5 linked regions of the Ovis aries genome follow. The protein of the gene in region 3 purifies or fractionates together with the protein of the main gene of each other region. This does not show direct contact. Links are inferred from orthologs where the notes say so. Each region holds a gene or a part of one and is shown on either strand. Other genes may lie near its edges.

Evidence for each region.
Region 1: the proteins of LGALS3 (region 3) and SLC15A4 purify together in Homo sapiens (affinity purification with mass spectrometry; 3 studies listed by BioGRID and IntAct, counting the BioPlex papers as one, with this or other methods). This does not show direct contact. The link is inferred for Ovis aries from reciprocal best matches to the Homo sapiens genes LGALS3 and SLC15A4.
Region 2: the proteins of LGALS3 (region 3) and SLC12A2 purify together in Homo sapiens (affinity purification with mass spectrometry; 3 studies listed by BioGRID and IntAct, counting the BioPlex papers as one, with this or other methods). This does not show direct contact. The link is inferred for Ovis aries from reciprocal best matches to the Homo sapiens genes LGALS3 and SLC12A2.
Region 4: the proteins of LGALS3 (region 3) and SLC12A7 purify together in Homo sapiens (affinity purification with mass spectrometry; 3 studies listed by BioGRID and IntAct, counting the BioPlex papers as one, with this or other methods). This does not show direct contact. The link is inferred for Ovis aries from reciprocal best matches to the Homo sapiens genes LGALS3 and SLC12A7.
Region 5: the proteins of LGALS3 (region 3) and ECE1 purify together in Homo sapiens (affinity purification with mass spectrometry; 3 studies listed by BioGRID and IntAct, counting the BioPlex papers as one, with this or other methods). This does not show direct contact. The link is inferred for Ovis aries from reciprocal best matches to the Homo sapiens genes LGALS3 and ECE1.

What each region holds. Positions count from the first base shown.
Region 1 is NC_056070.1:48,375,443-48,381,196, reverse strand, and holds part of SLC15A4 (solute carrier family 15 member 4), read right to left. Parts: intron 1,762-5,754; coding exon 1,593-1,761; intron 1,172-1,592; coding exon 1,094-1,171; intron 434-1,093; coding exon 265-433; intron 1-264. UniProt on the Homo sapiens protein: Proton-coupled amino-acid transporter that mediates the transmembrane transport of L-histidine and some di- and tripeptides from inside the lysosome to the cytosol, and plays a key role in innate immune response.
Region 2 is NC_056058.1:23,540,691-23,546,444, forward strand, and holds the end of SLC12A2 (solute carrier family 12 member 2), read right to left. Parts: intron 3,375-5,754; coding exon 3,239-3,374; 3' UTR 510-3,238; downstream 1-509. UniProt on the Homo sapiens protein: Cation-chloride cotransporter which mediates the electroneutral transport of chloride, potassium and/or sodium ions across the membrane. Plays a vital role in the regulation of ionic balance and cell volume.
Region 3 is NC_056060.1:65,684,689-65,690,442, reverse strand, and holds part of LGALS3 (galectin-3), read right to left. Parts: intron 3,838-5,754; 5' UTR 3,834-3,837; coding exon 3,816-3,833; intron 2,353-3,815; coding exon 2,005-2,352; intron 1-2,004. UniProt on the Homo sapiens protein: Galactose-specific lectin which binds IgE. May mediate with the alpha-3, beta-1 integrin the stimulation by CSPG4 of endothelial cells migration.
Region 4 is NC_056069.1:71,334,560-71,340,313, reverse strand, and holds part of SLC12A7 (solute carrier family 12 member 7), read right to left. Parts: intron 5,642-5,754; coding exon 5,430-5,641; intron 4,128-5,429; coding exon 3,960-4,127; intron 2,365-3,959; coding exon 2,266-2,364; intron 1,517-2,265; coding exon 1,459-1,516; intron 1,167-1,458; coding exon 992-1,166; intron 550-991; coding exon 431-549; intron 338-430; coding exon 239-337; intron 1-238. UniProt on the Homo sapiens protein: Mediates electroneutral potassium-chloride cotransport when activated by cell swelling. May mediate K(+) uptake into Deiters' cells in the cochlea and contribute to K(+) recycling in the inner ear.
Region 5 is NC_056055.1:245,113,222-245,119,573, forward strand, and holds the start of ECE1 (endothelin-converting enzyme 1), read left to right. Parts: upstream 1-2,699; 5' UTR 2,700-3,062; coding exon 3,063-3,221; intron 3,222-3,880; exon of another isoform or gene 3,881-3,938; coding exon of another isoform or gene 3,939-3,989; intron 3,990-4,221; coding exon 4,222-4,308; exon of another isoform or gene 4,309-6,352. UniProt on the Homo sapiens protein: Converts big endothelin-1 to endothelin-1.

The sequences.
Region 1 (5,754 bases), on a different chromosome or scaffold from region 3:
CAGGTAACTAGAAACCCATGCTGGAACTAAGAGTTCACTTACCACAACCAAAAAGCTTCCACAGCCAAATAAATAAAATACATATTTTAAAAAACGTAAAAGAGCAAATCCTCAGAGAAAAATCTTAAACTTCATATACTACTCCAGTTTAATAAAATAATCCTTATATGTACACGCTTCCTAAAGAACACATGAGTGACTACCATATTCTGAATCACCCACAACGGGAAGCAGGTAGGAGCAGAAACGGAGCTGGCTTCTCACCTGCGGCGAAGGCTGAGCACATCACGAAGAACATCCCCACGGCGATCCTTTTCAAGGATGATGGGAGCAGGCCATTTCGTTTCAAGATGGGATCGACTAGTTTATCTTTCAGGGGAATTAACAGGAGGATGAGCACAGCATCAAACATGGTCAGCCAGGCTGCCGGAAACTAGAATTTGGAGATGCAGAAGACACGGGCTTATTTTTCTGCGGTGTCAGCAGCTGCTTACTTGACAACTAACGTCTAAATGGGAAAAGCTTATTTCAAAAACAGCTCATTTGTACAAGTATGACCTCCTAGGAAAATAGTCTGTCTCAAGACACTGGATCTGAGGAAAGGCTTTCATTTCTAAAAGGGATGTGATTTGGGTTTTCTGTGCTTTCTGGGGGGAAGAAACGGGTCAAATATTCATGTTTAACTGACAGTAGCAACTTAGTTTGGGCTTCCCAGGTGGCTCAGTGGTAAAGAATCTGCCTGCCAAGCAGGAAACGCAGGTTCAATCCCTGGATCCAGATGGTCCCCTGGAGAAGGAAACTGCAACCCACTCCCGTGTTCTTGCCTGGAAAGAGCCTGGCAAGCTACAGTCCATGGGGTCGCAAGAGTCGGACACGATTTCTTGACTAAATAACCACCACAAAGTCAGTTTAATCTAGTAAAGGACATAACCAACAGAAAGATAGTTTCAGAAGTGAGCAAAAATTCCATTTCAATAGGAACATGTTTAGTTCAAGCTACCTATATCATTTACAAAGTATCTGTGACTGGCAGAAGAAATTCTGTCACGTAAACCCCCAATGACAATTTTCACAAAATTTCAATTGTTCTCACCGTATGAGGATTGGTTGTAATACTGGAAATTTCTGGAATCTTCAAATGAAGACTCTGTAAAACATACGTCGTCTGCATCTGGGTGTAAAAAGCAGTGTCATTACACGTGCACGGCTGTCACAGGCCTGCAGCGAGCCGCCCCGCCCCCAGAGTACTCTGTGATGAGACTCGCAAAGGTCAGGTTGGCAAATGGGCAGGTCAATCTCTTGGCCACCATAAAAGTCATCTGATGGTGAACTTTAAAAGAGAAGTAACGACTACCCCACTGAGAAATTAAAAGGTGGGGCCTGGAAAAACAGAGGTATGCCCATTCTTAGCTTCATTTTTAAAAAGGTTTTCAAAACATTTAAGTCCACAAAAATGAGTCCATAACTAACATCAAGACTCCAAGATCCTGGAGACTTATGGCAAGGAAAGCAGGGAACCCAGGCACTTGAGTGCCGGGGCAGTGTTCACGGTGGGGGGAAGAGAGGAAATGAGACCTGAATATAAGACTCACTTGAAAATACACTGTCCAGTAAGGTATCAAAGCCAAGAAAACGGGGACAATCTTGACAAGAGCTTTCACATCTTCCACTTTATCTTCCGGGAATGGCCCTCCTCGAGACATCTTACATGAATCAAACAGACTGTGTTTAGAAGATTGCTGAAAGACTCCAATGCCTTCACTTTGGGAAATAAAATGAAGGAATTAGTTTTCTTCCACCCCCAGAAATCAGTTATTTGGTAACAAATTAGGTTTGGGGATAGGAAATGAGCTTGCTGCACTGAATCTGCTCAAACCCCCTTCCGTTACCTACTAATCGTCGCCTACCCAATGTGGCCACCCAAATTACTCCTCAAAACAGGGAGACGTCCGGAATCAGCAGACGGAAGCGCTTCCTAGCCAGAGTGCGATGCTGGCCGCCATCACGGTGGGATCACCCAGCGCTGTCTGGAAGGTGGCCGACCTCATCCCCAGCTTTGTCACACTGGCCACTGGTCCTGTGGTGTGGAGGAAGCCTGCAGCTTCATCTGAAGCTGGTGACACCTACATCAGCTACATCACCGGGTGAGCATTTGAAAAGACCACTGTCCCGATTGTTTGGGCCTTAAATTAGGCTATTTACCAAATGTCAAGCCTCGATGACCAACACAAAACTCTTACAAAACCGAGCTGGTTTACTGTATTGCAGTCACACTGGTGTGACTGGGAGGGAGGGCTCTGTTACAGCAGAGAAGACATCAGCTCTTCTCTTAAGGAAAAGCCGAGACGGGGAGCGGGTGATGCTCCTGGTGATAACCTGACGGTGTCACCTGGGGGAAGATGACAGAGTGCCCACTGGCGAGCCCTGATCACCACCCTATCAGGCACCAGGACACTCATACTAGCATCCCCCTCCCCCCGCCGCAAGGAGGAGGAAGTCAGGGCACAGAGAGGGTAAGAAATGTGCCCAGGGCAACACAGCCAGGGAATGGGCCGGGATCTGACCCCAGGCGGTCCTGGCGGTAGAACCTGAGGTCCCAATCGCTGTACAGCCACCCGTCCCTCTACTTCCGCCCTCAGGCCTCCCCTCCATGCTCCGGCCCGCCCCACAGTCCAGAGTTCTTGGCTGGCTCTGGTACCAGGAGGCCTTCCGGTCCTGGCTCCGGTGCTGGCAGCCCTGCCCACTCGCTCACCCTGGCCTGCCTTACTACACTATTTATAACATGCACAGGTCCCAGGTCTCAGAGGTACCCAACCCAAAATACTCTTAATGGAGAAACAGGCTCTAAGGCCCTTTGTGGTAAAATAGGAAAAAAAAAAAAAGTTTTAATTGCACACCCTTCTCTAAAACCAGAAATAAATTACCATTAAGAATGCTTGCAATTCTGGGACTTGGATATAAATGGGAGCTGTCAGCTTTCTAGTTTATAAACTCCCGACCCATTTGACTGAGTCACCAACTACTGTGAATAATTTTTGTCTTTTAACACTGACATTTTAAATCTGAACTTTCTGAGCATGGAAAAATTGAAAACTATAAAATTTGAACCAAGTTTTGGACAGAAAAAGTAAATGCAACAGACATTTACTGAGCACCTACTATATGCCTCATTCTGTTTCTGAGTGCTGAGGAAACACACATAAATAAAGAAAAGATACATCTCTTGTCCTTATGGAGCTGAGTCTGGTGCGGAAAAATACTTAGAAAAATACACTTAATGTGAAAACACTAAATTCCAAACATATTATTATTCATACTTTTATTTGAAAAAATTCATAGCTTCTCCTTTTTTTGGCCAAAGGCGTAAAGTACCTATAAACCTAATATAGAGTCTATCAGTGATTACTACATCATACCGCCGACGCTTCTCTAAATAACATTCAAATGTGAAACAGCAAATTCACTTCACACACAGAGTCATGAACACAGGTTGCTGGCTATAATGCTTACGTTTTCATATCATTAAAGTATTTTAAAAACTATTTTAAGTCACTACACATCTAAAACTTCGCCCAGGGCACACATTGTTAGTGTTATTATTCTGTAACATACAAGGGTCCAACATGGAGCCACAAGTCACCAACGGCAAGGCACACAGACAAGTGCTCCCTGAGACCCCCGGCCGAGGCTGTGTGTGCAGCTGTGCACCCTCTCCCGGGAGGAGGGGCGGGAGGTGGGGCTGTCAGCTCTCAGATCCTCAACTAACAGAGGCGAAGTCTCTCACAAAGGTGTGGCACTGTTTCCACTCACCAATGAACTGAACTGACAGGCATGGATTTCATGTCTAAAACAGCATTAAAACATCTTCAAAACAGAGACCCCCCTCTCAAAAAAAACAAAACAGAGACCACTTAGAGCAGAAAGAAACTGGAATTGGGCCAGATGAAATCGGCCCCATAAATAAGGGAATGCTGGGTGATGCTGTGCTTCCTTCGCTTCTAGAGCGACATTCTGCAAAAGCATCCTCATCAATTAGTTACCACTGACTGGCCTCTTATCAGCTTACAAGGCCTCACAATGATCCTATGAGAAGGGACCTCTCCAACTGCACAAGAAGGAAAAGCAGGCTCTGCAAGGTCATTGACCTGCCCAAGATCAGACAGCCCCGACCCGTGGATAAGGAGAGTACAGTCAAGAGAATTTGCCAGAGCATCATCTTCTCTACAAGCTGGTCCTCTTTGAATTGTGCCAAGGAAAACATCAAAAACCAACATAAAGGGAAAACAGATTCCCAAGTCCCAGTAGTCTTTACCCCACCATTTGGGCATCAAAACCCACATGTCCACAAAGCAACAGTGTCCTCTTACACAGGTGTACCAGGTATCACCCAGAAAGACACTCTGAAACTTTAATGATACATTTTGCTAGTGGGTATTTAATCTATAGGCCAAACATCTGGGATCTGAATCATGCTTTTGCTGAATTAAAATGAGGCCCCAGTAAAGCACTACTGCCGGCTGCAGAGGCAGCAGGGCTTCAATTGTTAAAAATTCGTCAGTGTGGTCCCACCATCAGCTGCTCTGAATTGAGTCTGAACACGACACTGTATGAGTCTGCGGAGGCCTACCCGGGGACAGCTAAAGCAACCAGAGGTGTTGAGCCTGGAGTGAAGGGGCAGGGCTGTGGGAGCTGTTTTGGTACAGCTTCAGATCCACCACGTGGGAAGAACATGAGACATCTGTGATGGCTCCAAGGACATAAACAGGATACAGGCAGACAAGCCACGAGGAGGCAGACAGACGCGGGTCAGTCTGCAGAACATTCTTGCAACATGGGCCCTCCTGGTGGAGGGGCAGGAGGCTCCCCAGGGCTGAGCAGTCCCTCTCCGACTCAGGGACTGAGCACCCATCTCAATGCCTGTCTTGATCAAAATCCTGAGAGGCTCAGCTCCAAATGGTTCTGAGGACTTTTCTGGGGTGATGGACACATTCTACGTTCTGACTGTAGTTACCTGACAGAATAAATCTGTCATAATTCCCAGAATAGTACAGTTAAAAGGCAAGTCTTTTAATACACGTTAATTTACATGTCAAAAGTAACACCAAAAATTTCTGAGGGCTTTTTGTGAGCTAAGTTCTGGACTTTTCTTCACTACTCTGCAACTAGGGTGACCGAACTTCCGCCAGAGCTTGCCCGGGATTCCCTGGAACCCGGGACTTTTGGCTTTAAAACCTCAGGTCGTGGGCAGACAGTGCTCCACCTGGGAAGTCCCGTGTTAATGGGACAATGGCCTTACCCTACCAGCATCTTAATTCTGCTATCCTGTCCTCAGAGAGCGGCTGACGTGACCACTGGAGGATGGCCCGCGCTGACCTGCTCAGCTGCTGGCCCTGTAGTGGGAGGCAGCGGCTCACTGCTTACGGAACACAACACGCATCTACACCTACAAACTAAACAACTGCTCGGTGTCTGAGCCAAAGGCCTTCTAAAATTCAGATTTCAGTGTTCATAAATAAAGTTTTGTTGGAACATTGAAAAAAATAAAATAAAGAGAAATGTATCAAGTTTAACACTGTCTCTTCGATGCCCCTGGCAAGCCTCTGTCTTTATCCTCTTTACACAGCTAAGCAGCCGTGGGCCTCCGTCTACATCAGCAGTAAGTGGAGGGTCAAAGTGCAGGTTAGAAATGAAAAAGCGCGAGCCGGGGAAGGAGGGAGGCCGCTGGCTCATCTTTAAGATGGAGATGGGACACCT
Region 2 (5,754 bases), on a different chromosome or scaffold from region 3:
ATCTTGGGAAACTCGCTACAATTCTCCAAGCTACTTTCTCAAGAGTAGAAGAGAAAGAAACGGCTGTCCTGCACATATAATACACCTACTGTAATGTTCAAATGGTAAACGGAAAATGCTTTGTAAAACTGTAAATTAGCTTTGCCAAAAATCTTAGCAAGAAATGAATCAGATTAAACTCAGGGACTGTGAATCCATTTCTACTTTCTTCACTCATAAACACATGATTTAACCAAAAGACAAATAAAGCAGAATTAGAAAAGTTAAATGATTTACAAAATATCAAAATGAGCTGTGTCTGATATAGCTCAATCTGTCAAGAAAATTAGTGATTACTCCAAAGGTTTAAGGATAGTGAACAACTTCAAACAACTTTTCCAAACAATGAATATTAGGGTAAAAGCCATTTTAAAAAACTCAAGACATCCATGAAATAAGTTGTATAAATGAGGTAAAAATCACAGAGTTGATATAGATTTATAAAATGGATAAAATAAATAGACATTAAATTGTTTTAATGAATCCACTTCCTTTATTGCAGTAACCTCTGTACAAAGCAGCAACTGCAATACTCAACGTTAAAACATTAGAAAAGCATTTGTGTGACAGTTATAGTACAGTATTATCAAAATATTACATTTTCAAACTAGTAAACATCCACCAGAGCTCAAATCTTTAAATTATTTTTCCATAGTCTTTAAAAATATGTAATGTCAGAAAGCATAAAAAAAGAATGTAAAAGGAAACCTAAAATACAAATGAAGTAATGTGACAAATAAATATGTGATTTAATTAACTGTTAATAATCAGCTTAACACCACCATTCTTTAAACCCACTGAATTTTTACCTAGAGAAATAATGAACGGTCATATGCCATTGCATAACTGTTTATTTCCATGTTATCACCAATGATTAGAACTTAAAATTTTTGGCATTAAAATAATCAAATTCAGCATAAATGAAATAGAGTAGAATAGCTTCAACATTAGCTAACATTTCTAGGAATTAATTGTTACAATTTATCAGAGCACAAAAACAACCTTGAAAAATTTGACCTGGTATCTAGTGTTAAGTAAAAGTAATGCATTTCCTTTTAAGTGAAAAGCTTCTTACGTTATTTCACAGACAATATTACCCTCCCCCATTATGTATATTTAGATATATTTAATGTACTTTATACACATATGTATGATGCATGACATTTGGTTCCTGCAGTACAGATCACAACGAGGTTTTCCTGAATGGGAAAAACTTAAAAAAAGAAAAAGTAAGTGTACCTGTGCACATTTCAAGATAGCAGCACTCAGTTATGCCCTATTATCCATTTAAAAAGTTGAGACATGACATTGTTTACTGAATCTGACATTTTCACTGTCTTTCCTCTTAAACAGTACAAAACCTCCAAAAAATGGTACAATGGTGTGAGTTATAACATAGGAAAAAGTTTTTAGGAAAACAATTACCTCATTCTCTTAGCATTCTGAATTTAAAATTACTATCAGATCTCTGTTATGATATTAACTTAGTTCATACTCATGCAGCAAAGATATTGCACTACTGAACAACAGTAGTAATTTTATAGATTTTTATCGAGATTCATGAACACCTACATAAATTCTTCACCAGTGAAACCTATACCAGTGAATACACTGAAGAGTACTTTAGGTGAAACATTCTCCATTTCCTAATCGAATGATAACTGTGTGAAGTTACATGCCCTTCCAGTGATCACATTTGTTCTCCATGAAACCTGTCTTTCAATCTGTGAACTCATAAACAAAAAATTTAATATGATAAATCTTAACACTTTAAAATACAAAAAACCATTGTGTCATTATAAATACACATATGCATATGTGTATGCATAAACATATATACACACACACATACAGATATGTAGACATACAATCCCTTGAAATGTTTCTAGGAAATCCTTCCTTGAATAAAAAACAAAAAACTTCACATTAATAATTGCATATAAAGCTTTTAGTAACAGTACATATGCACTGTCCAAATTGTACTAGTAGACTATGATGTCAAAACAGACTTTTCAAAAGCACAAACTGGCAGTTTTTCTTAACACAGAAGTTTTAAAGTATTAAGAATGGATTAAATTTAAATGTCCAGAATAATCTGTTCAAACCTGAGTATATTAATTAAGACTATTTACTTGACAGTTGAATGAATTAAGCCTAAAAACATTTCACTAAGAAACCAGTGGTCCATTTAACCATTTGATGAAACATTAAATATTTTAATGATTTAAAAAAGGATGATATAGTGATATTCCATATATTTATTGAAATATTCTATTAAATGACAATGCTTTGTCTAATTTTAACCAGGAAAATCTTTTAGCATTTTGTAAAAGTCCCTCAGATTTGAGGAAAACTCTAAATTAGGACAGATCTTTCTTCTAATAAATATAAATGGTCTTAAAGATTTTCTTTAAAGAATGACAATATGTGATTTTTCAGGATGGTGTATAGAAGTACTGGATAAATCTTCAACCTCCCCTAAGGATTCAAATAATAATAATCAAAAAAGATATAAATAACAGCCAATTAGAGGTTTTTAAAAAAAGGTTTATTGGGCTTTTTTCCCCCTAGATCTACATTTATACATCCTAATGCAAACCTAACCTTGGGGTCACTTTTCGATTCTCAGTTTTACCCTTGCATTTTCACTAACTAGCCCTAATTCTCGCCTTTAATAGCTAACAAACACATTTACAAAAGTAATAGAAAACATACAGTACTCAACACTAATTGGTCAATGGAAAAAGAAAAGCGGTGTCCATTTTAAGGTGGGAAAGATTAGAAATAAAAATAGTGGAAGGCAAAGTTTGACATTCTACAAATTTATAAAAGAGGATATATGGATGAAATTTGGTTAATTTCAGAAGGCACCTCAAGGCTAAAGGCTTTTTGTACTCCTTTCATCAATCAAAAAATAACATACTTTTATTGCTATTCAAGTAGCAAAGGAAAAACTTTACTTTCACAAGCTTCAGTCCAACAAGGAATCATCATTCACTAAGACTGAAATACGGAATTGACTAAAACTGAAGTCTCCACACATATATCAATGGAGCAACTTCCCTGTGTGCTTTCAAATCAATGAAATAGTGAAAAAAAGTCACAGTTCGCCATTGTGATGTTGAAGATTTCAGTGATAGTTACTTCACTAGGCACTGAAGTACCGTCTGGAGGGCTGTCCACTGTGCAGATAAAACACTTAAGAATAGAAGGTAAGGACACTCTGATGATTCCCACGGACTAGGAGAATTGGTGGCAGGTCCTTGGATAGAGCTTCTAACCATGCCATGTAGAGAGCACTAGACACAGCACCTTTTCTTGCAACTGGGAGACTCCTGGTATTAAAAAACAACAGGAAATTAAACAATGTATTTAAGCTAAGAATAAAATAATAAAAACAATAAGTCACAGTAATAGTAACTAAAAATTACTATAATTACAGTATATACTGTAACAACTATACTATACCATATATTCCTATTTTTTTTTTCAAGTTTGAACAAAGTATTTCTTACAGTATATCTTAAGAACAGCAAATTTTTGTTGTCCAGTCACTCAGTCGTGTCTGACTCCTTGTGACCCCATGTACTGCTTCCTTGTCCTTCACCAACTCCCGGAGCTTGCTCAAACTTGTATCCATTGAATCAAGGGATGCCATCCAACCATCTCATCCTGTCATCCCCTTCTCCTCCCACCTTCAATCTTTCCCAGTACCAAGGTCTTTTCTAATGAGTCAGTTCTTTGCATCAGGTGGCCAAAGTATCAGAGTTTCAGCTTCAACATCAGGCCTTCCAATGAATATTCCAGATTGATTTCCTTTAGGATGGACTGATTTGATCTTCTTGCAGTCCAAAGGACTCTCAAGAGTCTTCTCCAACACCACAGTTCAAAAGCATCAATTCTTCAGTGCTCAGCCTTCTTTATGGTCCAAACTCACATCCATACATGACTACTGGAAAAACCATAGCTTTGACTATATGGACCTTTGCCGGCAAAGTAATGTCTGCTTTTTAATATGCTGTGTAGGTTAGTCATAGCTTTTCTTCCAAAGAGCAAGCATCTTTTAATTTCATGGCTGCAGCCACCGTCTGCAGTGATTTTGGAGCCCAAGAAAATGATATCTGTCACGGTTACCATTGTTTCTCCATCTATTTCTCATGCAGTGATGGGATTGGATGCCATGATCTTAGTTTTTTGAATGTTGAGTTTTAAGCCAACTTTTTCACTCTCCTTTTCACTTTCATCAAGAGGCTCTTTAGTTCCTCTTCACTTTCTGCCATAAGGGTGGTATCATCTGCATATCTGATGTTATTGATATTTCTCCCAGCAATCTTGACTCCAGCTTGTGCTTCGTCCAGCCTGGCATTTCGCATGATGTATTCTGCATACAAGTTAAAACAGCAGGGTAACAGTATACAGCCTTGATGCACTCCTTTCCCAATTTGGAACCAGTCCGTTGTTCCATGTCTGGTTCTAACTGTTGATACTCAACCTGCATACAGGTTTCTCAGGAGGTAGATAAGGTGGTCTGGTATTCCCATCTCTTCAAAAATTTTCCAGTTTGTTGTGATCCACACAGTCAAATGCTTTAGCACAGTCCATGAAGCAGATGTTTCTCTGGAATTTTCTTGCTTTTTTATCATCCAGTAGATGCAGGCAATTTGATCTCTGGTTCCTCTGCCTTTTCTAAATCCAGCTTGAACACCTGGAAGTTTTTGGTTCACATACTGTTGAAGCCTAGCTTGGAGAATTTTGAGCATTCCTTTGCTAGCATGTGAAATGAGTGCAATTGTGTGGTAGTTTGAACATTGTTTGGCACTGCCTTTCTCTGGGATTGGCATGAAAACTGACCTCTTCCAGTCCTGTGGCCACTGCTGAGTTAGTATCTAAAATTAAACCTCAAATCTCCCCTTAAAATTGTTTTAGGAGAAAGGGATATTTCTATCTGAACTTTGGTAGTGGTAACTACATACAGATGAGTGAAATTCAAACATAATTGATTCTACATATTAATGTTCAATTTCTTGTACCTATCTCTGAGCTTTCATTTTCATTTATAGGTAGTGGAAGTATGTCCAGTTGCTCCCTAGAGTGTTTTTCTCTAGATTTCTATGTTTTAGTGACTTTCATTACAGATACTTGATTGCCATCAACAAAATTTGAAATTTCCTGGTGTAGTCAAATTTCCTGGCTGTTAGTCAAAAATAGCAATCTTTTGGTATTACTTAGTTTCATAATTTGACATGTTTTCAGAGATCTGAGCCTTTTTTACCTATATAAGGACCAGGCTCCAGGACTTAGAAAATTTGGGTTCAAGAAAGATCTAGGTAACCTGGTTTAGTGAAAGAAAAGCCAGAGTGAGCACAAGTATCTATATTCAATGCAAAGTCATTGTGTCTATATGACATTTTGTATGTGGGAACTTGGGAGTGGAAATTCAGATAGGAACCATGTTCTAAATTTAATTCTCAACCTAACTTGATATAATTATTTCTATGAAGAAACTGTCTAGGAACCAAATTTTAACTTGCAGCCCTGTTACCTGACAAATGTTGATGGTTACGCTGTGGTATTTCCAAAGTTAAGGAATTTTTTAAAAGTGGGAAAAAGCATAAAGAAAAAAATCCCAGAATATGCTATTATGATAAGGAATTATTTAGATTTATACAAGCTTAAGGTTAATATTTTTGTTTATCTTTCCTATCTTAAATGATT
Region 3 (5,754 bases):
GAGAAAGAAATGGCAACCCACTCCAGTATTCTTGCCTGGAGAATCCCATGGACGGAGGAGCTTGGTGGGCTACAGTCCACGGGTCGCAAAGAGTTGGACACGACTGAGCGACTTCACTTTCACTTCACTTCACTCAGATATACAGATGATACCACTCTAATGGCAGAGAGTGAAGAGGAACTAAAGAGCCTCTTGATAAGGATGAGAGAGGAGAGTGAAAAAGCTGGCTAAAACTCAACAATCAAAACAACTAAATCATGGCATCTGGTCCCATCACTTTATGGCAAATAGATGAGGGAAAAGTGGGAAACTGGCAGATTTTATTATCTTGGACTGCAAAATCACTGCAGATAGTGACTGCAGTCACAAAATCAGAAGACTCTAGCTCTTTGGAAGAAAAGCTATTAAAGAGTAGAGACATCACTTTGATTCCAAAGGTCTGTATAGTCAAAGCTGTGGTTTTTGCAGCAGTCATATACGAATGTGAGAGTTGGACCATAAAGAAAGCTGAGCACCAAAGAATTGATGCTTTTGAATTTTTGGTGCTGGAGAAGACTCTTGAGAGTCCCTTGGACAGCAAGGAGACCAAACCAGTCAATCCTAAAGGAAATCAACCCTGAATATTCATTGGAAGGACTGATGCTGAAGCTGACATTCCAATATTTTGGCCACCTGATGTGAAGAGCCTACTCATTAGAAAAGACCCTGATGCTGGGAAAGATTGAGGGCAGGCGGAGAAGAGGGCAACAAGGGATGAGATGGTTGGATGGCATCAACAACTTGATGAACATGAGTTTGAGAAAACCCCAAGGGGTAGGGAAGGACAGGGAAGCCTGGTGTGATGCAGTCCATGGGGTTACAAAGAGTCAGACTCGACTTAGTGACTGAACAAAAACAAGACTTAACCACTAGATTCTGGGGTTCCTCCTCTTCAATCTCTTTCCCACTGCCTCTTCCTTCCAGAATTTCCATTTTCCTGTCTAAACTGACTACCTGTGTGTGGTCCAGGTCCTGCGCATCGCCTCTCATGCACCTAATGCTGTCTCTCTGCTCTCCTCTAAGCCGACCAATAAGCAGAGCAAATATTCCCTGTGCCATCACACTCCTGAAAGGGGCTGATCTCACACTGCTATTGAACTCTTTTCTCATATATGTATCTTTTCTCACAGCTAGACTGTTTGGAGATGTGTCGGGAGCCCCCAGAGTTGGGTTTTATGGTTAGAATTCATTTATTAAAATGAGTTTTAATATAAATGAAAATTCAACCCTTAGATCACAAAATTATCTTTAGAAGGTTTTTAAAAACCAGATTACTGTGGTTGCCCCAAATTTCCCCTCTATGACCATGGGAAGGTTGTATAACCCTTTATTACCCTATTTCCTTATTTGTAAAGTGGCGATAATAATAGTATCTTACAGGGTGCTTATGGAGTTGAATGAGAGCATCCATGTATAAGCAAGCACTCAGCTGGTACATGTTATATATTCAGTGTTTATCAGTAATAATAACAACCATTACTATGATCTTGATTTATATTAAAGCTGCTCTACAGATGCCTTCAAAACATATATTGGCTTCTCTTTAAACTAACAGTACATATACTAAACACCGGAAACTAATTTTTCTATTGAACCAACATACACTGTGCCTGGTCCTTGCAAAATGGCTCTAAGCGGTGAGTTTCAAGCTTCAGGTCTCCCGAAGCCCTCTGCAGGTCACCAGTGCCCAGCGCCAGCTTCCAGTCAGAGCACTACAAAGTGATGACACTACCGCTCCAGAAAATTACCATTTTCTTTCTTTTTTAAATATTTATTTATTTGGTTGTGCTGGGTCTTAGTTGTGGCATGTGGGATCTAGTTCCCTGATCAGGGGTCAAACTCAGGCCCCCTGCACTGGGAGCATGGAGTCTTAGCCACTGGACTGCTAGGGAAGTCCCAGCCGTGTTCTTTATTAACTTGGTCCCAAGCACATTGAAGTTTACTAAATGATTCACTCCATCTTACCAGGGGTCCAGAAGGGATGCCATAGGGGCTGGCAGCAGGGTAGGCAGGAGGTGGGTAGGCCCCAGGTCCGGGGTAGGCACTTGGTGCAGTTGGTCCAGGATAAGCAGGTGCTGTTGGGCCAGGGTAGGCCCCAGGAGGTCCCTGTCCAGGGTAGGGGCCAGGAGGTCCTTGTCCAGGGTAGGGGCCAGGAGGTCCTTGTCCAGGGTAGGGGCCAGGAGGTCCTTGTCCAGGGTAGGCCCCAGGATAGGCTGCTCCTGGGTAGCCTCCTGCCCCAGCAGGCTGGTTTCCCCATGAACCAGGCCAACCTTGGGGGTTTGGTTTTCCAGACCCAGCTAAGGCATCATTAAGCTGGAAAAAAAGACATTTAAAAAATTATAGGATGAAGAACAATCACAACAGAATTTTCAGGAATATGTGATCTAAGAATTAGAGGGATGTGGTGAAGATACGAAATTCACATCAATAAAGTTTTTCCAACCTTTTAGTTTTGAATTCCTAAGACTAAAATTTGACTATGGTATTATACATGCTTTATCACTTTACTCTTGCCTCCCATCATCTCAGATCACTGAGGGTTGCCTTTTTGTAATCTGCATTCTCTATGTAAAAGCACATACTTTCTAACTGACATGGGAAAAAAAAAAGTCACCAAACTCAGTATACTCTTGGGCTGCAAAACCTGCCACCAAGCTGGCCCTGGTTGTGTTGGCCTTCCCTTTGCGGGATGTCTACTGCACTTTGGGTACGCCAGGTAAGTTACCACTTAGTGGCATCCAGGCTAGTACCAGAGAGGCTGCCTTGTACACAGGGAGAAGCCTGCGATGTGGAGTCAGAAGACTTGGTTTAAAATTCAGTGCCATCCATCAAGAAATCCAGTGTTATCGATCAAGAGCTCCAGAGTTTCAGAGCTATCGTGTTGCCTGTATAGGACTTAGTGTCTTTGCTTGTAAAATGGGGATAATGACCTATTTCACATGATCGTTGTGACAAGCAAGTGAGGCCACATTTGGGACGGCTCTTTACAGACTGCGACACTCTGTGCCAGCGTTGGATTGTGTCCTTTCTCTCCAGGACGAGACTGCTTTCTCCCTGCCTGTTTTCTACAGTGTTTAGCACGCTGCCAGGTGGTACATGGAAGATGCCCAGTAAAGGCTTCTCCATTGACTGAATATGATCTGCCAGGATTGTCTCTGATGCATTGGGAACACAACCCTAGACCTGGTGTTGGGGCAACACAGTGAGGCTGTGAAGGGAGCCCATGTGTCCTGGGGGAGGGGGAGAGAGAAACTGAGGGCTCCGTGATGATGGAAAGCAAACTGGATTTAGAAAACAAACCTGAGCAGAGCTCATGGCTCTAGGTGACGTGTCATTCCATTAGGGAATTGGGGAATACATAAGTATGCTAATAGGAATTCGTTTTGGCTGCTTCTTACTCCAGCATTTGGGAAGGGAGAAGGAGTTGAGGGCACTTTAGGGTTAAAAAAAATCAGGTTGCTCAGAATGAACCACACTGCCCTTTGCTCAGTTGGCTTCTCAGCTCCTGCCAGCAGAATCCACCAGCTTCTGTCCTAGGCCTTTGGTAAAGGGGTTACTGTTAGTGAGGCCTCTCTCTGCCTGGCTTTCTTCCCAAACCTGTTGCTGCAAAAACAAGACTCCACCTAACAAGCCCTCATTGGACAGATGAGGCCAGAGGAAGCCACGAGGTGGGAGAGTTAAACAGGAAACTTGAGCGGTTAAAAAACAAACAAAAAACCCTCATCCTGCATGAATGTATATATATTAAGGTAGGAAAACAGACATAAAACACTTACCGAAAAACCGTCTGCCATTTTCCTGAAAGGAGGAAAAAAAACAGGGGTTATCACTTGATCCTAAAAGATTTCACTGATTTCTGTGTGAACATCACAAACAGCTCATTGTGCAGGTCAAGTCAATGTACAGGCATTCTCTTAACACAAACAAGTCTGTTCTCCAAATATGCCAAAATCAATGGTGGGGAACCACAAAAATGTCTCAAAGGGTGAGGATGCTCTCCACCTGAATCACCAGGCCCTATTTAACTCATAGCTGAACTCTAATCACACTCTCTTGTGGCTGAATCCTGGAAGTAACAGGCTATACAATACAAGTGGGAGAGCAGGAAGTACAATACTCTGCCCTTTCCTAGGTAACAAATGTAAATGGTCCTGGTTTGTCTTTGGTTCTCCTTCACCTTCCTTCCTGTGCTCTTTTTTTCCACCACCTCATAAAAAGTGTTCATCAGATGAATCTCGCCCACCTCTCCTCCGGTTCTCAGTGATAGCCCCACACCCTCTTCTGGGTTTTAGGAGGAGGCCGTTGGTTCTTCCTGCTAGTGTTTGAAAGATAGTCTCTGCCTTGCCCGCCCCACTGCCCAAGCCATAGCTGCTGCTGCTGACTTATTTCTTCATTTGCACACATGTGTGCCTGTTCTGTGCCAGGCACTGGGCAGGCTCAGGTCTGGGTTTGCAGACGGAATTGGCTAAGATATATCATCAAAGGGTCCAGAGGCCAGAAAGGGTCACAAGTAATGGGTGGTGCGAGCCAGACTATGTGCTACGAGAAGTCACAACTGGAAAGATGACTTCCAACAGGGATAGTGTTGAGCTAAACCTTGAAAGGAAGGTGAGACTGGGGATATGAAGCAATAGCAAAGAAAGGCGAGCACAAGATGTACTTTTTTTAAAAAAAGGTGTTTGTTATTCCAAATGAAAATATCTGGCAGTATAACAAACCAAGGTTTTTTTTAAAAAAAAGACAATTTGGAGAAAAATATTTTGGGGTAGGATGCTACCAAAGAGGGTTGGCCTTGCCCAAAGCTGCCTCAGTGTGTGGCCATGAGACCATCACTCCTGCTTCTCTGGCTCCTCCCTCAGTGCCAGTTCCCAACAAACAAGATGTTCTACACTTGCTCCCGGAGCTGGTGCTCTGGCGGTGAGGAGAGGAGGGCAGCTTGGGACTCCTCAGGCCTGGGTTATTTTCTCCGCCCAGGATCACCTGTGCTATGGTCAAAGTTACCTGGATCTTCAGTAATCAGAATCTTTTTCCTTAAGCTGTCTACATGTGTGTGCTGAGTCACTTCAGTCATGTCGGACTCTTTGCTACCCTATGGACCCATAGCCCACCAGGCTCCTCTGTCCATAGGATTCTCTAGGCAAGAAAACAAGTAGGTTGCCAAGCCCTCCTCCAGGGGACCTTCCTGAGCCAGGGATCAAACCCACATCTCTTACATCTCCTGCACTGGCTGGCGTGTTCTTTACCACCAGCACCACCTGGGAAGCCGTAAGTTGCCTACTTGTTAAAGTTATTCAGTTATTCTAAGAAATGATCCGTTAAGTGGTGGCTACTTGATAGGTCCTAAAAATACAAAATACTAGACTTTTTGGTAAAACAAAAGCAGACAAAACGTCCTCCTAGAACTTACTGTATGCTTCATTTATATACCAGATATTTTATCTTACTCTGCTGTTACTTATAATACAGTTCAATATGACCTTCCGTTAATTTTTTATTTTTGCACACCTCTTTTCAAATCTGGACATTCTGAAACATATTTGGATACACTCAGGTTATCACTGTGCCCATCTTCCAATTTGGAAACTGCAGGTGATCTAATTGGGAAGTCACAGTGACTCTCCCAGGGCTTGTTTCACTGCGTTTAGTATATAATATTTGACTCTTCAATGCAAAAGTCGGTGCTCCTCTGTACTTCCTTCCCCAAAAGACTGCCAC
Region 4 (5,754 bases), on a different chromosome or scaffold from region 3:
CGGCGGCAGCGCGGCACTCACCACCCGGCCCCTCGCCAGCGCCCGAGCAGCCACCTGGAGGCCTCCCCCGCCCCAGCAGGAGGACCCGAGCCTTGGTGCCGGCTGAGGCGCGCCCACCCGGCCGTCCCGAGGGCTGAAGCAGCCCCGGGGCTGGGGGACGCCCGGTCCAGGAAGGGCGGCCGGGGCCCGGGGGCTGCCCCCCACGCCCTCGGGAAGGCAGAAGCAGCCCCGCGCTCACCAGTGGTAGTACTTGAAGCGCGGGCGCCAGCTGGGCGTGCGGAGCAGGGTCTGCAGGGCGCAGGCCAGGTTCACGAACATGTAGCACATGAGAAAGAACCTGGGCGCGGGCGGCAGCGTGAGGCCCGGGCCCCGGGGGTCCTCCCAGCCGCGCCCGCACCCCTGCGGGCAGGCGCCCCCGGCGGCTACTCACATGGACAGGATGGGGGCCACGCTGTCCAGGGAGGCGATGAGGATGCCGGTCTCGCAGATGAGGGCTGTGAGCAGCAGGGCCCATGTGGGCTCCCCGTTGGCCTTCCCGTGGCCGAACACCTGCCGGGAGCAGGGGGTAGGCGCCGGAAGAACGCTCATGTGCGGGCCGGAGGCAGAGACACTGCGTTCAGCTCAAAGGAGGCCTCAGGGCTGCAACGCCAGGACGGACCCCACACAGCCACAGCCAGGAGAGGCCAGAGCGCGGAGCCCGGGGCTCCCGTCGAGTGCTGGCTGGGGGCACAGCCTGGGAGGGCCCCATGGGGACCGTGGCTCCTGGGAGGAAGCTTTACCCCCCACCTCCTTCCCGCATGCGGTCCGGGATGGGAAACCCAGAGCCTGGGGCAGACACAGAGCAAGACGAGAACACAGGCTCGGGGTGGGGCGGCCAGGCTGGAGGCGGGGACCTACGTCCCCCGGCTTTGCGCTCAGGGGCAGACCCCAGGCCCTCAGAGGCAGGCTTCCTGGCGGGGGGGGAGTCTCACACATGATGGGGGGCGCTCACCTGCAGGAAGGGGACGATGGAGTCCCGGGCGATGGCCTGCAGCAGCCGCGGGGCCCCGGTCAGGCTCTGCAGGCCGGCCCCACAGGTGGAGAAGAAGGAGCCGATGACGATGACCCAGGGCGACGGCCAGGCCAGCATGCCAATGACGAGGTTCCCCTGCAGGGCCTCCCCGAACCTGAGGGGGCAAGAGTTTCCAAAGTGCAGCTGAGAACAGAGACCGCCTCCCAGCCTCCGAGAGGGCGTGACAGCCCCCCGGAGCCCCTGCACCCAGCTCTCCTGGAGGCCAGGGTCGCGGTGTGGGCTCTAGGCTCCAGTACAGGAGGGATGCACAGGCCTGACCCCAGCACGCTGGCCGCTGGGACACCCTGACACGCGAGGCTGGACACCCTGCCCTCCCCAGTCTCAACGCTAGTCATCAAAGAAACCAGCTGGCCCAGGAGCTCCCGCAAGCCATGAGCGAAACGTACTTATCTCGCAAGATCACGCCTTCGATGCAGGCGCCGAAAAGCACGATGCAGGACAGGTCTGTAGCTGGGGTCAAGGACGCGGCAGGCAGCACACGCTGGCCACAGGCGGGCCCGCACCAGCCCCCGCCTGCCCACCCCACTCGGGTCGCGGCCCCCCTGGACGGAACACCTCGGGTCAGTCGGGACGGGCCTGGCCCTCGTCGCGACCACTGCTGGGACCAAGCGGGAACCCTCACCAGCTGGGGAGGCGTGAACTCGGGAGAAACGGCCCCACCGGCACGGCGACACCAGGGACCCCCGCTCGGCAAAAGCGTGGCGCCGAGCGCACACACAGCTGCACGTGGTCACGCACCACAGAGCCGTGTGCTCACGTGCGGCCCCCAGGCAGAGCCACGCTCTTCACCAACCCAGGCTGGAGTCCAGGGGTCAGGGCAAGGCCAGCCCAGCCCCTCCGAGGGCGGGGGTGCGGTCAGGGCAGCCCGACACTGCCTGGAGGCAGGGGTGGGGGCACCTGGAGGAGGCCCCAAGGGCGCGGCCACAAGCGGAGGGCGGTACAGGCGCCCGGCCCCCAAGCCCGGCTCGGCCCCCACACTGGGTCCCCACGCCCGGCCCCCACGCCCGGCCCCACGCCCGGCTCGCCCCCACACTGGGCCCCCACGCCCGGCCCCACGCCCGGCTCGGCCCCACGCCCGGCTCGGCCCCACACTGGGCCCCCACGCCCGGCCCCACGCCCGGCTCGGCCCCACGCCCGGCTCGCCCCCACACTGGGCCCCCACGCCCGGCCCCCACACTGACCCCCGAGGATACAAATGAACGACGTGGTCACGATGGCCAGGATGGTCCCCGTGGGGATGGACTTCTGTGCATCCCTGAGGTCCCCGGAGCGGTTTGAGCCCGCCATGATGCCTGTGGAAACAGAGAGTGGTGATGGTTCCCGGGCCCACCTGGGAGAGGCCGCCCGCCCAGCCCCGTCGGGCAGAGTCCAAGCACGGTGGGGGGCAGGGGGGCTTCCTCACAAAGTATGGGAGAGACCCCAGGCTGCACGGGGCAGCTGTCGGCACGCTGGGCCTCACAGACTGGCCTGGACCTCACCGTACGCCGCGAGACTGCAGGACACGCGGGTGGGCACCCTAAGGTCCCCGACAGTGTCCGCAGGATCAGCCGCCCGGCCGTGAACCAAGTCACGGCACAGAGCAGAGCACGGCTCAGCCCCGGGCACCAATGCCAGAGCCAGCCTCTGTGAGCATCCAGCTCGGACCTCGTCCCCTGAACGCCGTTAATCCCCGCAGCTGGGAGTGAGAAAGTCCCTGGAGGCTGCTGCCAAACGCTGACTCACCCCCAGGCCAGGCCTGGGTCAGTGCATGGCCCAGCCTCAGCCTCACACCCCCTGCAGGGAGCAGCCTCCACCTCCACCCGCATCGCTCTGTCCAGCACATAAACTCTAGAGTCCACCTGAGCTCAGAGCACGTCCTCACGGACGCACGTCTGTCAGCGCCTGTGATCCCGGGCGAGGCCTGAGCAGAGCCTGTGGGTCCGGTGCCACGGGGCGTGGAAACACCCGCACCCACGGGGGAGGCTCCTATGCCCTCATCACCGACAGGCGGGGAGAAGGACCCCCGAGGGGCTGGACCCCAGCCCAACTACCGCCTAAGTGAGGTGTGACCCACTTCCACGGGGAGGCTAGACACATGCCCGTCCACCCCCGGCTCTGAGCCGCGGGCAGGAGGGGAGCGGTCCCCAGCAGGCCAGCCTCCCCAGTGTGTGTGGACCGGCTCTGGGGAGCCTGGAGCAGGAGGGACCAACACACCACCACAGGCTGCTCAGTTGGCTGGGGGGCCAGGGGACCATGGCGAGGCTGAGGGCTTCCCAGGAGCAGGTGTGTGTGCGTGTACTCACACGCGTGAACCTACGGACAAGTGTGTGTGTGCGTACGCGTGGGGGTGGGGGTGGCCTGCACCCCAGTCCCTGCAGGAAGACTCAGCGGACTCTCTCGCGAGCACGAGGACGGCGGCCTCCGACAGCGGTCGCGTCCGCTGCCAGCACCAAGGTCACGGGGCTTCTCTGCATAGCCTGGCCTCTCAGGAGAGCGTGGACGAACCTGCCTGATGCCACAAAGCTTCCCAGGCCCCCGACTCGGGACAGATGGGGAGTGGAGACCCTTCGGCTCATTTCTTGAGCCAAAAGGAACCGGGGGGGGGGCCCTGACCCGCGGGGGCAGACGGGGGTGGGGGGCACGGGGGAACCTGACCCACGGGGGCAGGGACGGGGACGGGGGCAGGGGGGGCCCTGACCTGCGGGGGCAGGGATGGGGACGGGGGCAGGGGGGGCCCTGACCCGCGGGGGCAGGGATGGGGACGGGGGCAGGGGGGGCCCTGACCCGCGGGGGCAGAGAGGGGGGCGTGTGTGGGAGCCGGGGGGCCCTGACCGGCGGGAGGAGAAACAGCGGCGGAGGAGGGGAAGGGGGGGGCGGCGTGTGCTGGACCCCCGGACTCGGGCCTCACCAGTCACGGATGGGAAGTAGATGCCGACCAGCATGGTGAAGTACGTCATGATGTCGGTTAGCACGTAGGGCAGGCCGTGGGCTCGGGCCTCCTCCGGCACGGCCACCGAGGGCACCCCCTTCTTCTCCACGAACGCCCCCTTGTCTGCATACGCGCTCCACAGGTTGTCTGCGGGGGCAAGGGCGGCTCACAAGACCCCAGTACTGGCCCAGGGCTCAGCTCCCCAACGCTGACCCTGCCTGGACAGGGGCGCGGACTCAGAGCAACTGAGCCCAGAGAAAATAACGTCTCCTGACAGCCGAAGCAAAGGCTTCAGTGCCGGAGTCTGAAGAAGACACCCATCACGGACAGCAGCTGCGCACCAACACGCTGCCCGACCGCCGCCCTCCACCTCTTCATTAACCCCCGACTGCTGCTCCGCAAGCCAAGAGCTGGGGGCATGACGCCGGGGCCTGACCTGCCCCCTCCACGGCGTCTAAGCTTGGGGAGCACTAGCCCGGGGGGCCCAGAGGGTCAGCAATGGGGGACGCAGTCACACGGCCACCAGGAGGACAGAAGGACAGGGCCCCAAGGAGCGGGCGTGGATGCCCACCAGCAGGGACCTGCTGGACACTCACCCAGAGGACAGACACTCACTGGGGGGGATGTTCACCTAGAAGGGGCCACTCACCAGCGGGGGACACTCAGCAGGGGAGACACTCAGCAGGGGGGACACTCACCCAGAAGGGGATACTCACCAGGGGGGACACTCAGTGGGGGGGACACTCAGCAGGGGGACACTTAACGGGGGCGACACTCACCCAGAAGGGGACACTCAGCAGGGGAGACACTCAGGGGGGGACACTCACCCAGGAAGAGACACTCACCAGGGAGGGACACTCAGCAGGGGGGACACTCACCCAGAGGGGGACATTCAGCAGGGGGGATACTCACCCAGAGGGGAACATTCAGCAGGGGGGACACTCACCGGGGGGGACACTCAGCAGGGGGGATACTCACCCAGAGGGGGACATTCAGCAGGGGGGACACTTACCCAGAGGGGGACACTCACCGGGGGGGGGACACTCACTGGGGGGGACACTCAGCAGGGGGGATACTCACCCAGAGGGGGACATTCAGCAGGGGGGACACTTACCCAGAGGGGGACACTCACCGGGGGGACACTCACCAGGGGGGACACTCAGCAGGGGGGATACTCACCCAGAGGGGGACACTCACCAGGGGGGACACTCACCGGGGGGGACACTCAGCAGGGGGGACACTCACCGGGGGGACACTCACCCAGAGGGGGACACTCACTGGGGGGGCCACTCAGCAGGGGGACACTCAGCGGGGGGGACACTCAGCGGGGGGGACACTCAGCGGGGGGGACACTCAGCGGGGGGACACTCAGCGGGGGGGACACTCACCGGGGGAACACTCACCGGGGGGACACTCAGCAGGGGGACACTCACCGGGGGGGACACTCACCCAGGAGGACTCCGCTGGCCACACCCGGGATGCCCTGGATCTCGGTGACGTTGTTGTGGAGAAAGTACTGGTCACAGGAAGTGCTGTCCGCGGAGCCATTGCAGAAAACGCCCCAGAGTGCGGTGGTCGCCGAGATATTGTTGGCGGTGTGGACTTTGGCACAGACGTCGAAGCCACGTCGGGACAGCGTGCGGTTCCCCAGCAGACAGACCCTGGTGGGGGCGGGCAGTGAAAAGCCTCTGCTCACTGTCCCCCTCTGTAACCAGCGCAGCTCAGGGGTCTCTGGGGAGGAGCTGCTGATACTCTCCACTCAGCCACAGAGGTG
Region 5 (6,352 bases), on a different chromosome or scaffold from region 3:
GCACGCAGATTCTTTACCCTCTGAGCCACCAGGGAAGCCAGTTGCAGGAGACACAGGAAACAGGTTCAGTCCCTGGGTCAGGAAGACCCCCTGGAGAAGGGAGTGGCTACCCACTCCAGTATTCTTGCCTGGAAAATTCCACGGGCAGAGGAACCTGGAGGGCTACAGTCTGTGGGCTTACATAGAGTCAGACATGACTGAACACACATACACATAAGGATTGAACAGATCTCAACTAATTCCTGGCACAAAAGGCAAGAACCGATGGGGGCTCTGGCCATAGGGCAGTGTCTCTAAGAAGCGGAGACTTAGAATGTGAAAACAACTTGTGGGCTGTGGTCAGGGAGTCCCAAGCCTCCGAATTTCACCGAATTTCACTCACAGCTGCTCTTTTTTTTTGCCTCTGACGAGCTCTCAGTTTCTTGGAAGATCCCCCGCCTTTGGGCAAACCAACACAGAAGTCATCGGAGTGACTGACATGGTTAGGAAAGATGGCCCAGTGAGGTCACACCCGGTGCCGCTGAGCCTGGAGGCCTTTGTCATCAGAAACACAGGAGCGTTTACAGCACTTCTCATTTCTGTTTCAGCCCAGGCCTTTGATTTCCACAGGGCGGGGTTTCCAGAGCTGGGACCATCACACCCTCCATCTGTCTGTCTTTCATCACCTTGTGTGTGATGGATCTGGGGACCGTGGTTCCCACTGCTCCACTCCTGGCCTCCTCCCAGCCCTTCTCACGAACTCCAGGCCCTCACTTCTCATCCACCGCTCAGCGGGGCCGGGAGAGGAGCGTGCAGATCAAGGCAGCATCTCCCCACAAAGCCGCAGTTGTCCGTCCATTTCCCTAAAGTTCCCTGGCTTGGGGGTGTCCCCACGACCACAGACGAGGCTGTTAGGAAGCACAGCCCTGGTTGGCCTGCCACTCAGTGTCCCTGAAGTCCATGCCGTCCCCGCCTGGAGCAGCAGCTCTCCTTCTGCAAAGATCAGGAGGCCCCACAGTCCAGGTCCTGCTCTGCCCGCGTGAGCTGAGTGCCTGAGGTTCTCTGGAGGCGGTGCGGTGGGCTGGGGCAGCCAGGACTCCCATCCCGGTTCTCTGACTCTCTAGCCAGGGAGGGGACCTGTGGGAGGGCTGGGGGAGACTGGGAGGGGGGTGCCGCCTCCCCCATCCTCAGTCTCCTCTGCCAAGTGGAAGTGGGAGGTGGAGATCCCACCGCAGGGTGGGCTTCCCAGGGTCAGGAGGGATACAGATGCCTGGGGCCCAGCGGCTCAGCGTCAGCGTTGTTCTGCCCAGTCCCTCTCCGTGCCTGGCCCCCTCCCACATCTCCCATGAAAGAGAAGTGATACCTGCCAAGGCCGGGGCTTTGGTGGGTGTGGGGACCCAACAAGACAGTGATCGGAGGGCCCCACCCAGAACCGGGCGGGTAAGAGACAGGGCTGCCCCCACCCAGCGCTGCCCCCCCCGCCCCCGTCATTGGAATGCCACCTGGTGACTGGGGCCCACAGTGCTCCCCACGGAGCAGCGAGGCTAAGCCATTCCCACTTCCGAGTCGGGTTCAGTTTTACTCCCCGGCCCCGGGGCAGGCAGCATCTCGAGAAGGGCCCCTCATCTTTTGTGTGCTGAAAAATAAACAGCTCTCGGTCTCCTCGGATTTCTACTCCAGAGGTAGGTGATCTTCCCTGGTCATCCCTGCATGGACAGGCCGGCCTCGGCCCGTGGGATGGGCTGCCAGCCTCCTCCCTCGCCTCTCACCTTCGTGCAGATGCCCATGGGAGCTCCAGCCCCACTCTAGGCCTTTGCAGATGTAGAGGCTCACAGGACCCAGCCCTCTCTTCTAGGGTCTCCTAATTAAGGTGCTGTGTGCATTAGTAGAAGGAAACGTGGGATGTGGGGAGGGGTGGGGGAAGGCAGAGGACACAGCTCAGGGGGCCTGAGGCTGCCTGGGGTCAGACAAGACTGGTCTAGAGAGCTTTCCAGAACGGCTGATCTCTGAGTTAAGACGGAAGGAGAAGCCATTGCTTCACTACACCTGGGCCAGTTACTTCCCCAAGCCTCAGTTTCAGATCTTGTAAAAGAGACTGATGATACCTGCTTCAGAGGCTTCAATGAGACGATGAATGTAAAAGAACCAACAAATACCTTGTCCCTCTAAGCCCCCAGGAAACAGTAGCTGCCTGCCGTGCCCTTTCTGTTTCTCTGGTGGGTAATGGGAAGTCCTGCACCCAGGGGGAGTGGAACAGAAAAACCCAGAATTAAAATGCTTCCTGCAGGCCCTGCCTCCCTAAGGTCCTCAGACATGTTCTCCTTGTCCTTGGGTATTGCAAAATTAGATGCATTTTCAAGGCCCTTCCCCAGAGTAATTTTCACTTGTTCTCGTTTCATTTTAACAGTGTTTAGAGCTCCTGTGCTATGGCAGCTGATGGGGATTCTCTGTGTCAGACAAGGTCCCAGCCCTGATACAACTCACAATTTGGGGGAGGGGGAAGGAGACAGATGTTAAAAACCAGCATAAATAAGTCACAGACTGCAGTAAAACGGGTTGCCATGATCGATAATTTGGGTTCTGCTCGGGGTGGCTGGGACATTTGAGGGTGTGACGTTTACGCTGACCTCTGTCTGCAACAGGAGCCAGCACGGGAGGAACAGAGACATGTCCAGACAGAGGGAACAGTGCTATAAAGGTCTCGAGGGCAGGAGACACTCGGGGAATCCGAGGAACAGAGGGAGGGCGGGAGAAGCGGCAGCCTGAGGCAGGGAGGTGGGAAAAGGGGCAGGGTGGGCAGGGGCCACGGGGGACCAGTAAGGGGGCTGTCCCCACAGAATTGGGAGCAAGGGTGGCAGGACCAGAGTTTCCTGTTGAAGGCTGGGCTCTGGCTGCAGAGCAGGCGGTGAGAAGGCAGGAGGTGAAGCCTTGGGAGCTCACCGAGACTGTCACCCCAGGTGTCACTGAGCCTTCTCTGCCTGTTCCTTCATGCATCTGTGAAGTCAGCTATGAGAGGGAACGGGAGTGGTCTGGAAAGCTGAGAAAAAATGTATTAACGCGGGGGCTTCCAGGTCCCACCAGACATGGAGGGTCCTTTGGGCAACTGCTGGGTAGGCTCTTCTGGGACCTTGAGGGGCAGGGAGAGAGCCTGGCGTCCAGAGCGCCCCACCTCTGAGGGAAGGTGGAGGAAATGGTCCTGTTCCTGGCTGTCCGCTCTCCCCAAAGCTGTTCCTGTTTTGGAGGTAAGATCACACCTTGGAGCCTGGAGCCAAGCACAGGCTTCCCTCCAGCATGCACAGAACATTTTTCATTCTAAGTCAGGAGAGTGCTCTGGAATTTTCTGAGATCATTGTGAACTCTGGCTCAAAGACCACTGAACTAAAGGAAGGGGGAAATGAGAAGGGAGGCACATGCCATTTTTATTCCGTGTGTGTGTGTCTGTGTGTGTGTGTCTGTGTGTCTGTGTGTGTGTCTGTGTGTCTATGTGTGTCTGTGTTTTCCCCCAAATATTTCTAGCTCGCATGGGGGAGGCCGCTCTTGGCGCAGCTAAGGGTCAATGGCGAGAGAAACCTCTCTTGACTTTTGCGGCCAAACTAGGGGCCCTTTCCTAATACCTGCCTTTTGGCATCTGCCACCACGGTTTATAGAAGGAGGACTTCATGTTTCTTAGAAGGAAGGGTGGCCGCGAGCCCCTTCCTGCCTGCAAGCGGGAGGGGCCTCTCCCCGACCCCCACCCCGCCCCCCAGCCTCTGGGAAGGGGGAGAAGGCTCCGTCTCCCGGGTGACTGTGGGGGGCGGTCTCCCGGCGCGGCGCGGGAGGGGGCCGGAGCTGCGCGGGCCAGGCTCCGCCCTCGGAGGTGGTGCGAGGCCGGGCCCAGCCCCAGGGCCGGCCCTCCCCGGCCAGAGCCGCGGGCGCGCGGCGGCGGGCACCCGGCGGGGAGCGGGCGTCGCGGGCGCACCATGCGGAGCCTGTGGCCGCGTCCGGTGGCCGCGGCGCTGTCGGCGCTGGGGGTGAGGCGCGGGGTTGCATAAGCGGGGAAGGGGCGGGGGTGGCGGAGGGAGGCGGGACCCCCCTCGCCTCCCCCGGCGCGGGCCTGGCCGTGGGCCGGTCCCGGTGTCCCGGCCGGGGCGGGGCGCGGCGGCGGCGGCGCAGGCGACGGGTGGCCGCTTCCCCGTTCTCCCCATTCGGGAGTGGTGAGCCATGGAGGCGCTAAGAGAGTCGGTGCTGCACTTGACTTTGCAGATGTCGACCTACAAGCGGGCCACGCTGGACGAGGAGGACCTGGTGGACTCGCTGTCCGAGGGCGACGTGTACCCCAACCACCTGCAGGTAGGCGCCCCGGCGCTCTGAGCGCCCTCCCCAGCCCTGGCCGACCCGGCCGTCCTGCCTGCCACCGGGGCGTGAGGGGGCCCGTGCCAGCCCGCCAGCCCTTGGGCTCCGTGGGTTAAGAAAAGCCTGTTCTGGGTTAGCAATACCCCTGAGGCGCTGGGCTCCCCAAAGGGCCTCCCCGCCCCACCTTCACGCATCCCCAAACCCTCCGGACCACCTGCTACTGGGTTACAACTCAGGCGGCCAAGTGGAAGAAGCATCCTGGAGGGGTGAGCTGGTCCAGTTCTCTCTTCAGAGGGAGGAGGCCAGTCCCTGAGTGCTGAGACTTGCCCAGAGTTTTAGGCAGAGCATAAAATCCTCCCAGTTGTAGCGTAGAAAGTCCCGGAACCCTGTCAGTCCTGGGCAGACAGGGGGTGATTGGTCATCCTGTCTGGTGGACGTTACCCCACATTTCCTCCTCTTCTTCCCCCAAACCCCGCGTGTCCTGGGGGTTGGAGCCCAGCCTCTGCTCCCTCTCTCCCTGCCCCTTCCAGCCTCTACTTGGGAAGCCCAGTTCCTCCCCCACCAGGCTCTGCCCCCTGGGGCTCAAATGTGCCCACCACCTCTGCCTCCCGGAGGGACTGAGCTGGGATGGTCCAGACCAGGACCTCAACCCCGGCTGGGTGTGAACTGAAACAGGTGGACCTGAGGAATTTGGGAATTCCGAAGGATGCCCAGGGGGCCCTGTGACCTGACACCTGGCGAGCAGCACAGTCTAGGAGGCTTCTGCCAGGCTGACCCGGGGAGGCCTGCTGCAGGGACTGCTATCAGTTCAGAAGCCGCCCCCAGAGGGAAAGCGTAGGCTGTGTGGAAACCTGGGCTGCCAGGCCCAGTTCTGCTCGGCGCACCTCTCAGAAGCTGGGATCATACTAGTAAAGGGAAACGGCACTGATTGACACTCATTCAGTAGGCCCTGGGGAGGCCAAACCCGGCCCTGAGCGGTCTGCACACACTGGAACGGGACTCTCTCACCTACATCGTCCCACTCAGCCTTCAGGAGCAGCCCCGTGAGTTACTGTCCTCACAGCGCCCTCTTACAGATGAGGAACCTGAGGCTCTGAAAGGGGAGACAGCTTGCCTTGGGTGCACTGGAGCTAGAATTCTAGGAGTAAGAAACCAAACCCAGTCTGTCTAGAGCCGCTTCCCCGTGGACCTTTCTGCAGAGGCTAAATCCAGCAGGAAATTAGATTCCCGTGGCAGGCGCTTTTGCCTTCCCGAATCAAAACAGAATCTAATCAGCCGTCTTTTTCAGTCTCATCTTTCACAGAAGGTTCTAAATATATCAGCACAAAAGCGTTTCGGAATTCACAACGAAGTAGGGTGCTGTGCTGTTATCATCTTGTGGCAGCCCGCATGGGTATAGACTTTCTCAGGCCACAAAGTGACTCGTCAGCCTGAGGCCGCCTGGCACAGGGGAGGCACCCGGGGCTCTGAGACGGGGTGAGGGGGCCCCAGGTGTGAATCTGACACCGCCTGTGATCCTGGGCGATCTAAGCTTCTCTTCCTGCCTCTGCACAATGGGAGTTAAGAGAATGACTGTGATGCACGTTTCGGGGCCTGCCAGCATTGTTATGTTTGTGATCGTGAGGTAAGGACTCTTGCGGCTGCGTTACACATGACCAAGCTGAGTCTCAGAGAGGTTAGGGACATTCCTGTGGTCACAGAGCTGTCATGCGGTTGGAATGCAGTGTTGGTGCCCCGACACCAAACCACCCAACGGGGTATATCGTCCACTTTTACTACAGGAAAAGCCCAAATGCTTGCCCCAAGGATTTGGAGGCATTTCTGTAGGTACCCAGCCCGGCTTTCCTTGAGCCTCCACGACTTCCCCAAAGCAGACTAGCTAACGATTGTTCTTATAAGAGTCGAGAACCTTTTCATCTTATCTTACAGAGTTTTCTAGGAATTTTATGTCTTTAATCACAGGGAAGTTTTCCAGTATAACAATTTTGCATACTAATTTGTGAAAAAAAGAGTCAAGTATAAAAGAAATTTACAGAGACAG